Linked DNA regions of Sus scrofa. The protein of the gene in region 2 interacts with the protein of the main gene of each other region in a pairwise test. Links are inferred from orthologs where the notes say so. Each region holds a gene or a part of one and is shown on either strand. Other genes may lie near its edges.

What was found.
Region 1: the proteins of UBE2L6 (region 2) and ARIH2 interact in binary tests that used the Homo sapiens proteins (3 or more experiments, as listed by UniProt). The link is inferred for Sus scrofa from reciprocal best matches to the Homo sapiens genes UBE2L6 and ARIH2.
Region 3: the proteins of UBE2L6 (region 2) and RNF125 interact in a two-hybrid assay, tested with the Homo sapiens proteins (3 studies listed by BioGRID and IntAct). The link is inferred for Sus scrofa from reciprocal best matches to the Homo sapiens genes UBE2L6 and RNF125.

What each region holds. Positions count from the first base shown.
Region 1 is NC_010455.5:31,573,002-31,576,655, reverse strand, and holds part of ARIH2 (E3 ubiquitin-protein ligase ARIH2), read right to left. Parts: intron 3,566-3,654; exon of another isoform or gene 3,565-3,565; 5' UTR 3,501-3,564; intron 1,052-3,500; 5' UTR 957-1,051; coding exon 708-956; intron 1-707.
Region 2 is NC_010444.4:13,363,961-13,366,543, reverse strand, and holds part of UBE2L6 (ubiquitin/ISG15-conjugating enzyme E2 L6), read right to left. Parts: intron 403-2,583; coding exon 216-402; intron 1-215. UniProt on the Homo sapiens protein: Catalyzes the covalent attachment of ubiquitin or ISG15 to other proteins. Functions in the E6/E6-AP-induced ubiquitination of p53/TP53. Promotes ubiquitination and subsequent proteasomal degradation of FLT3.
Region 3 is NC_010448.4:115,856,437-115,860,639, reverse strand, and holds the start of RNF125 (E3 ubiquitin-protein ligase RNF125), read right to left. Parts: upstream 2,944-4,203; 5' UTR 2,580-2,943; coding exon 2,416-2,579; intron 2,347-2,415; exon of another isoform or gene 2,104-2,346; coding exon of another isoform or gene 1,988-2,103; intron 1-1,987. UniProt on the Homo sapiens protein: E3 ubiquitin-protein ligase that mediates ubiquitination and subsequent proteasomal degradation of target proteins, such as RIGI, MAVS/IPS1, IFIH1/MDA5, JAK1 and p53/TP53.

The DNA.
Region 1 (3,654 bases), on a different chromosome or scaffold from region 2:
TCCCCCCAAAAATCAATGAAATACAAGCTCTAAGAACTTATTTCATTCTTAGTTACTACTAAAATTTCTTTCAACATCAAACATTAGTCATCAGTATATGAAATAAATAAGATCATTAGCCCAGAAGCACTGATTATTCAGGGCAAACCGACAGATGTGAGTACCTCTCTTAAGACATTTATCAGTCACCGATACATGAGTGTGTTGAAATGGTGACTCTTTTATTTTATTGATTTATTTTTTTATTTTATGGCCACGGCACAGCATACGGAAGTTCCCAGGCCAGGGATCGAACCCACGCCTCCACGGCATCCTGTGTTTACAGTCAGATTCTTAACCGCTGTGCCATAGCAGGAACTCTAAATATGGTGATTCTGATGCTTATCCTATCTTACCTCAGAAAGTTTCATGACACTTTCTCAAACAAGTGTTAATCTATGCAGTTTTGCGTCTACATACTTCTGGACTATCTTTCCTAAATCCACCCCACTCCTTCTTTCTAATTTTTAGTAGTTTGGGAATCTGAGGGTCTTAGCTATGTACATATTAGCAAACAAAGTAGATGCATCGAATGTGTCCAGATGATGCAACATATACTTAAATTTGGTTTCAAGATACAGGTCAATCATTCTGGAGGAGACGTTAGCAACAGCTCATATTTAGATTTAATTGGGGGGATTATTCTTGAAATTGACAACACTGCTCACCTTTAGGACAGAGGCTAAGCTGGTCATGTGTTCATTGAGGGCACCCTCGGATTCCTTGTAGGTCAAGCATGTGAACTGATACTCCTCAGGATCAAAGGCATCAGCCCCCTGCTGCTCCACATCGCTGGCTACTCCCACGTAATAGTCCTCTATGTCCCCAGGGTCTTCGTCCTCTTCCTCTTCTTCACAATTTGGGTCATAGTCCTCTTCATTGCTGTCAGACCCCTGGCTATTCATGTCCACAGACATCTTAACATCCAGCCAAGATGCAGATCAGGAGAGCAGGTTTTTCCCCCTCCCCCTAAACTTTACCACTTTCTCAAATACATTAGTGTTTTTGTCTTCTAAGGGAGGAAAAGAAAAAAATAAGTGTTAATTAACTTTCACTATGAAAAGTTATAACAGAAACCATTCAAGAATCAAAATGGTGGAGTTCCTGTCATGGCTCAGTGGTTAACCAACCTGACTAGTGTCCATGAGGATATGGGTTTGATCCCTAGCCTTGCTCAGTGGATTAAGGACCCAGCATTGCCGTGAGCTATAGTGTAGGTTGAAAATGCAGCTCGGATCCAGTGTTGCTGTGGCCAGCAACTTTAGCTCTGATTCGACCCCTAACCTGGAAACCACCATATGCCTCAGGTGTGGTCCTAAAAAGACCCCCCCCCCAAAAAAAAAGAAGAAGAAGAAAAAGAAAAATGAAAGCAGCACAGCCCTAGTCCTACCTGCATTATATGGCCTATTCTAACTTTGTTCTCATACATGAAACCTCAACATCTCCCTGCCCAGGCTTTCAAAGGGAGACCCTTTCCCAGATGGACAGAAGCAGTTAACGATGGTAACTTCACATGAAGGGTCTGGTGTGAAAGAGTAAGGCTGTGTGCTCTATGTCAAGGAGTCAAACCCCCATGGATGTGTCCCTCCTGCCAGAGTTAAGAGAGAAGCACATCCCCACAGCTGGTGCCCACAGGGAAACAACCTAAAGGCTGAACTACCAAAGTTTAAAATCTCTTAGCCTATCATGCCCCACTGAGAGGTGACACAGACAGTTCTTTCCCACTATAATATCTAGGGAAAGAATAATATTGTTTTACATACATCACTGTCAGATATATGGGGGAAAAGGTGCACAGTATAGACAAAATAAAAGTCAAATAGTTCTTCAACCTCCTCCTCCTATCTGCAAAGTTAAATAATTTTTCTATTTTAAAAGGTTCTACTTAATCCTTTAAAAGGGGCACTAAGAAGCAAAGAAACTGGCCCAGTAATGAAAGAAAACTAAATATTCTGCTTTCACAGGATCATAGCTAGGAAAAGCCAGAATCTACTTATCATGAAGAAATAAGAGATCAAATGCAACTAGCTACTGAAAAATCCTCACAGATCAAAATGTTACTCAATTACATAAAAATGAAGAGATTACTAGTTTAGAAAGCAAAACAATCACAAGCCTAAATTTCATCTCAGAGAAGATTTTTGCAAATACCCATTAATTTCCCTACACAAGAACTACTTCATGTGATCATTTCCAATGAACAGTATCATTGTATATTTAAATAGTGATTTAAATATAAAACTAGGAGTCCCTGTGGTGGCTCAGCCGAAACAAATCTGCCTAGTATCTATGAGGATGCAGGTTCGATCCCTGGCCTTGCTCAGTGGGTTAAGGATCTGGTGTTGCCATGAGCTGTGGTGTAGGTCACAGGCAAGACTCAGATCTGGCATTGCTGTTGCTGTGGTGTAGGCCAGAAGCTGTAGCTCTGAGTTGACCTCTAGCTGGGAATTTTCATATGTCACAGGTGCCCCCTGAAAAAGCAAAAAAACAAACAAACAAACAAACAAAAACAGAAAAAAACCTGTTTGATAATCTCTCCAAAGAAAAAAAATCAACCACAGGAGTTCCCCTTATGGCACAACTGGGACGCAGGTTCAATTCCTCAGCCCCTCATAGTGGGTTGGGAATCCTGCATTGGCAAAGCTGCAGCTTAGGTATCAACTGCAGCTTGGATCTGATCCCTGGCCTGGTAACTTCATATGCTGTGGTTAGGCCAAAAAAGTAAAAAAAAAAAAAAAAAATCAACTATAATTAAAACCAAAATTTTTAAATGAATGTGTCCTGAAGATATGGCCAGTCAAAAGGACTACCAAGCCACATTTTACTTATTTGTTCATCTGGCCAAGCCCACAGCATATGGAAGTTCCCAGGCCAAGGATCAAACCTGCCCCAGAGCAGTGAACCAAGCTGCAGCAGTGACAGTGCAGAACCTTAGGAACTCCCAAGTTACATTTTAATGATATTATAAAAATATCATTGTCTGATGTTACATACAAATGCTCGAATTTTTCTTTTAAAAAAGTCACGTTAATGAGAGGGCAGTTAACATACTTGCAGTTTGACTTTTTTTTTTTTTTTTTTTTTTGTCTTTTTGTCATTTCTTGGGCCGCTCCTGCGTCATATGGAGGTTCCCAGGCTAGGGGTCTAATTGGAGCTGTAGCTGCCAGCCTACGCCAGAACCACAGCAACGCAGGATCCAAGCCGCGTCTGCGACCTACACCACAGCTCTCGGCAACGGGTCGTTAACCCACTGAGCAAGGCCAGGGATCGATCCCTCAACCTCATGGTTCCTAGTCGGATTCGTTCACCACTGCGCCACGACAGGAACTCCGCAATTTGACTTTTAATGAATTGTTTCGTATGGCAGAACCACCTAATCACAATTGAACTCAACTATGGTTTTTTTTCCTTTAGGAGAAAATTAAAATTTAATTAAAATTTAAAATTTAAATTAAAAATACCTGTAATTCTTGAAGATCTTTCAGGAAGATGTCACCCAAATAGCCTATATTGTATAATTTCCATCTAAAATAAAGAGATATAATTCTATTTATATACTTTTAAATTGGTACCCTAAATTTGCTAATTTATTTTTTAAAAAGTAAACATTTAAAA
Region 2 (2,583 bases):
AGCCACAGCCACACCGGATCCTTAACCCACTGAGCAAGGCCAGAGATCAAACCTGAGTCCTCCTGGATACTAGTTGGGTTCGTTAACCACTGAGCCACGATGGGAACGCCTAGACTCACAATTTTTATCTCCTCCCTTCTGGGCTATTCTAACTCAAAAGCGGTCCTCTGACCCCATCCAGCATGGGTCCCTTCCTCTGGCAGGGCCCAGCCCACCTTGGCAGGTCTTGGTGCAGGGCTTCCAGTTCTCGTTGCTGATGATGGGCAGACACACCTGGCCTTCGCTGTCCACGTTGGGGTGGTAGATCCTAGTTGTAAACGTCACCGTCGGGGGCTTGAATGGGTACTCCTCCGGGAAGCTGATGCGAAGGTTGAAGGCCCTGAGGTTGTAGGGCGGTTTCTCCTGGGCAAGAGAAGGGCCACTCTGAAAAGCTCATTTTCCTCCTAGGCCCTTGGTCTGGGTTCCCCCTCTCCCTGCCCCCCACCCTAGGGTCCCAGGCATCCTCTGCTCCACTCCGAGGAAGACCCATAAACAGGGACACCCATGGCACCTGTATTCACCTGGCAACTGAGCTGTGGATTCATGAAAGAGTGGAGTCCCAAAAGGACACGGGGCCTGGCAGTCCCAAGAGCTAGACCCAGGCTTTTGCGGTGCAACCAACAACCAGCTGCCTCTCATCAGTCCTCTGATAGGTCCCGTCCAGTTTTTCCGATCTTTTGTTGGCATGGTTAACGATCTGCGTGCCGTGCTATGGTAGTTCAGACGCGGTCGATCCGCGTTGCTGTGTCTGCGTAGCGTTACAGCTCGATTGACCTACTGAACTCATATGAGCAAAAAAACAACAACAAAAAAAAAAAAAAAAAAAAAAAAAAAAAAAAAAAAAAAAATAGTCAAGTTTGGTTAGATGAGCCCTAAAGACCATCTCAGCTTCTTTTTATTATATTGATAATTATACTAATTTTTATTATATATCATTTATATATATATCACTTATAAATTTATATCTACACTTTTCCAGATTTATTGAAATATAACTGCCATATATCACTAAGTTTAAGTTCCCGTTGTGGCTCAGTGGAAATGAAGCTGACTGGTATCCACGAGGATGCAGGTTTGATCCAGTGGTTAAAGGATCCAACATTGCTGTGAGCTGTGGTGTAGGTCTCAGACTCGGCACAGATCCTGTGTTGCTGTGGCTGTGTTGTAAGTTGGCAGCAGTAGCTCCAATTCGACCCCTAGCCTGGGAACTTCCATATGCCTCAGGTGTGGCCCTAAAAAGCCAAAATAACAATAATAATAAGGTGTACAGCATGATGGTTTGATTTAAATACATTGTGCTTCTTAGGGCCACACTCACAGCATATGGAGGTTCCCAGGCTAGGGGCTGAATTGGAGCTACAGCTGCTGGCCTATGCCACAGCCACAGAAATGCAAGATCCAGGCTGCGTCTGCAACCTACAACACAGCTCATGGCAACACCGGATCCCAGACTCACTGAGCAAGGCCAGGGATCGAACCTGCATCCTCATGGATACTAGTCAGATTTGTTTCCGCTGCACCACAATGAGAACTAAATATACTGTGAAATGACGACCACAGTAGGTTCAGCTGACATCCTCCTTCTCATATAGATAATAATAAAAAAAAAAAGAAAAAGAAAAAAGAAAAAATTTTTTCTCCTTGTGATGAGAGCACTTAGGATTTATTCTCAACAATTTTCCTGCCTATCACACTGTGGTGTTAGCTGTAGTCATGTTATACAATACATCCCAAGTCATTATCTACAACTGCAAGTTTGTACCTTTTGTCTGCCTTCATCCAATTTTCCCTTCCCCCACCCTCCACCTCTGGCAACCACAGGTCTGATCTCTTTTCCTATGAGTTTTGTTTTTAGGTTTCTCATATAAGTAAGATCACACAATATTTATCTTTCTCTGTCTGACTTATTTCACTTAGCATAATGCCTTTAAGTCCATTCATGTTGCTGCAAACAGTCAACTCAGCTTTAACATCTGAGAATTATGGAAGAGAAGGATGGACATTTTTCCTTTTTTTAATGCCTGCACCCGTGGCATATGGAAGTTCCTGGGCCAGGGGTCCAATCAGAGCTGCAGCTGCTGGCCTGCACCACAGCCAGAGCAATGCCAGATCCAAGCCCTATGTGCAGCTCGTGGCAAACCTGGATACTTAACCCACTGAGGGAGGCCAGGGATCGAACCTGCGTCCCCAAGGGTACTAGTCAAGCTCTTAACCCACTGAGCTACAATGGGAACACGGATAGACACTTTCTCTTAGGGAGCTCTTAGCAAGTACAGGAGAATGTCATTGCTGGGTGCTTGGAAAAGGAGAAAATAAGGAAATCAAAAGAAGTCAGGGGCTTAGGAAAGAAATTCTGCAGCCACTGTGGAAAACGATATGGCGGTTCCTCAAAAAATTAAACAGAATTACCATATGATCAAGCACTTCTACTTCGTAGTATCTATTCAGAAAAACTCAAAGCAGAGACTCGAACGGGTATTTGTACACCCAGGTTCATAGCTGGGTGGGTCACAGCAGCATAAGACTGAAACAACCCAAACATCC
Region 3 (4,203 bases), on a different chromosome or scaffold from region 2:
GGAAATGTCAGAGATCTCTGGTTTTGGCCCAGTTTTATTCCCAAAAGAACAAAAAGATAAGAAATAATATCGATTCATGGGTTTCCTTGTTTTAGGAAAAGACTTTGATGGAGACAGAGACTATGTTTTGAGTCTTACTATAGGCGTTTTAAGTATTCATAAAAATTCCATTACCCACCTTATTTTACAAATAAAGAAACTGAGATTCAAAAAGACCAAGCAATGTGGTGGTTACACAGCTAGTTAGTGGTGGGGTTGATTTTCAGACTTTGCTCTCTATCACGCCCGCTGATTTACTACATCGCAATCCATATATACATATTCATTCAAGGTACCGTGGCCATTACACTTGCTTGACTTGAATAGGTTTATAATTAGCTTATATATGAGATAACACAGAGGTTCATTTGCATTTCCTCATTTTCCAATTAAGTTCAGTGGAAGAAAGTAATTCATTTAGGAAGGACAAATGGTGTTAAAGAGAGCCCACTATCTCCAGTGCAGAAGGGACTCTAGTTAACATTTGTAAAGTGGAAGGGGCCCAAGTAAGTTTGCCAAAAGGAGGAATATGGAAATCCTGCCTACGGCCAGAACAATGGACATAGATTTGTCAAAACAAAGAACAGTAAAGTGAGGGAAGGCAATTTATCCAGCCCTTGTTGTGCTTGCTACTTCATGACTATTTTTCCAGTTGCTAGTTTCCTATTCATTCTAACAAAGAAAAAGACCAAACAAAAGATTTAACATTTTGCAAATTTATATTACCCTTTAGCAGAAGCAAAACAATGCAAACAAGTTATAAGCATTCAAAATCCAAACCAGGGAAAACAATCAGATAACAATCTCCAGTTGCAAAGCTACCCAATTGTCTCTGGTACAACTTAAAAGTTTTAACACTAATCTAGACTAAATTTAAATGTAGTTATCCTGAGGTTCTTTCTGACCTGAGCTAATCAATGTATTTCATACCCTACACAATGACATCTTGGCTTCCTGTCTTGGCCTTGGGGAATTATGTCAATGAGCTACATCTGGACAGCTGGGCAACATCAGTAATCAGACAGGAGGTAAATTAGTCTTGAGTTTAAAGTACAAAGCTGAAACAACAGGCCCTGAAAATACAGCCACAAAATAATGCTCAGGGTACTCTTTCTTTAAACATTGTGTGGGCTGCAGATTTTTTTCTCTCTGGCTTTCTTCTGGGCTTTTCAGTGTTAAAAACTGCTTCTCAGTTGCTTAGGCTATAGGTGTCAAGGACCACCTAGATCCCTTAAAGATATTTTGTGCACTTGCATTTATAATATGATACTTCTTTTTTTCCTGGTAAGCCAAAAAGTGCTTATTAGCATTAGGATACTGCCTTGGAGCGTCACCAAACTAGTCCGCGGGCCAAAGAAGACATTGGGTAAGTTTTCACTTTTGCTCTACGCAATCCCTCCCCCCACAAGTCACCCTCACACATTCAGGCACACACAAATTCACAGACCCAACTCCCACTAGTATTTATTCAGGCACACATTAACACATTAAGGACGTGCCAATTTTACACAGGGATTTTGTTTTTAAACTCTTCCTAGAAACTACCACGGTTGTGCACTAACAGCGAATTTTAGTTAAAGAGTATGCATGTGGTTTTTAAGACAGTTATTTTTATCTCTACTTCCTACCGATGTGGGAGGCGGTGCGCAAGGCAGGTAGTCTGTTGCAACCTCCGCCACTTGGTTACTTGGGTTTTAAACGGCTCCATTCCCCGGTTTGAGGGGTAAGGTTCAAGCCCCAGACCCCACCCTGGAGGGCTGTTAAGCTCTAACCACTACAGAAAGTCACTTGGACGGTCCAGTTTGATGATTTTTGAGGGATTTGGGTGTCTGAGTTGGGAAAAGGGAGGTGGGGAAGGAAGGACAGAGGCCCCCCCCCCCTTTTTTTCTCATGAGACCTCAGCGGGCGTTCTGGAACACGTGCACAGAGCCCGCAAAACAAAACCAACCTGGGTTCTGGGCGGAGAAGGAAGAACCTCGGATTAACTGAGTTGAGCGCGATAACTGCTCTGAGGGAGTCCTCCGCCTTGGGCCCAGGAGGGTGCTGCTTCTCCAGCAAGCTCATCCTCCGCGGCAGGCGAGCCCTGGCTCCCCGCGGCTCGCGCGCCCGGATTCCCCATCTCGGGGTCTCCGCACCTGGACTTCAGGAGGAGCCGGCTCTAGGGGGCTGCCTGTTGCTGTTTTCTCCTCCTGAAACCCTGTGTCACCTTCTGCCTTATCCCATGAACCGCATCCGACGGGTCCAGGTCTCTTCCTGCAGCAGTTTCCTTCAAGCTTTGTATTCTGGAACCACCCTTCCTCCCTCCCATCCCACCGCTTCCCTAACATCGCTCTCCCCAAGGGATGGGCGTGCCAACCCAGATTCCCTGGCACTTACACGTGGCCACAGCGGGTCCGGACGGGATGGTGCAACACTTCGAGGCATACGGAGCAGTCGAAGGACGTGACGGGCAGCGCGGGGTCCCCCCTGCGCTCCAGGGCCCGTGGGGTGGCCGAGGCGGGCGCGGATTTTCCGTTGTCGCTGCTCAGCACCGACCCCATTGCTGCGCCTCCCGCCCAGCCAGCGGCCAAGAGCTTGGTGCCTGCTGCCTGCTTGTTTTGTTGTCCAGCGGTGGAGGAAGGAAGTCCCGGCCCAGCTGCGATCGCCGCCTCCCAGCGCGCCCAGCCAGTGCAGCTCAGAAGCAGCCTCCGCCGCGGCGCCGAGTGCGCGGCCGCGCGTCTGAGACTAGCTTTTGCCAGCTGCCTTAGTTGAGGCGTGGAGGCGGAGGCGGCCGCCGCACATTGCACGCTGCGACGTCCCGGGCCCCTGGGAGGATTGAAACCTGACACCTCAACTGCAGAGCAGAGGACCTGGTAAGGCAGTGAACCTTCCAGCCAAGTGCGCGCATCCTTCTTCGAACCACTGTAGGAAGTGAATGAAAGAGCGGGCGTGGTCATGTGCGCAGGGAATCAGAGCACATCCACTTGTAAGGTGATGGCCCTATCAGTGCTGTACTGTTGTGATCATAAGAGGCTACAGAGCTGAGCTATGAGCGTCTTCTAAGAAAGTGCTCATCAGTGCTTCAGTCACCTAATGAACAATCCATAAAGGAGAGGTAGCTGCAGTAGTGGAGAGAGTTCTGGGACCTGGACTCGAATCCCAACCCCAGGGCAGGGATGCTAGTGCCAAATCCTAGGACCCCTCCTACTCCCGCCCCCGGCCCAGTTTCCTCACCTTAGGATCGCCTGATGTTGTTTGTATTCCCCTCTCCATCCTCCTGAATACGACCAAATATATCATTTATTAATTCACTCATTTAATAAGACTTATTTAGTGCCCGCTGTATGCCAGACTCCTTTCTGGTGAAGTGGACAGTTTCCAACAAGCAAACAAAAGCCCAGTCTTAACAGACCTTAAAAAGATTTTTTTTGGAGGTAATTATAGATTCACACTCTTATTGTAAAAAATAATCTGGAGTTCCCGTCGTGGCTCAGCGGAAGCGAATTCCACTAGGAACCATGAGGTTGCGGCTTCCATCCCCGGCCTCGCTCAGAGAGTTAAAAATCCGGCGTTGCCGTGAGCTGTGGTGTAGATCGCAGCGGCGGCGGCTCGGATGTGGCGTTGCTGTGGCTTAGGCGGGTGGCTACAATTCCAATTAGACCCCTAGCCCTGGGAATCTCCATATGCTGCGGGTGCAGCTCGCAAAAGACAATAATAATAATAATAATCGTCCGTGGTAATACATAATCTACGTAGGCAATATACACAGACCATAATACATAACAATCCGATAAACTTCACCCAGTTTTTCCCAGACTTTACTTTTAATGAAAAGATATCAGTAATCAACAAATAAACAAGTGAACAAGTTCATTTCAGATGATAAGAGCCAAGAAGATAAAACAGAGTGAGGGGGGTAAAGGATAAGACTGTCAGGGAAGGCTTTTTGGATGCAGTGACATTTTAGCAGAGTTATGAATAATGAAAAGGAGTCGGCCACTCATAGATTTAGGAAGAAGCCTGCCAAGCATTGGAATATGGAGCCAGGCAAGAACACCACTAACAAAAGCCAGAAAGAAGCAGAGACGGGGCCTAATCTACCCCCCAATCCTACACAGGGTAGGACCAAGAATTTGGGTTTTATTCCAGGTGCTGTGATTTGATTTACTCTGACTGCAGTGTGGT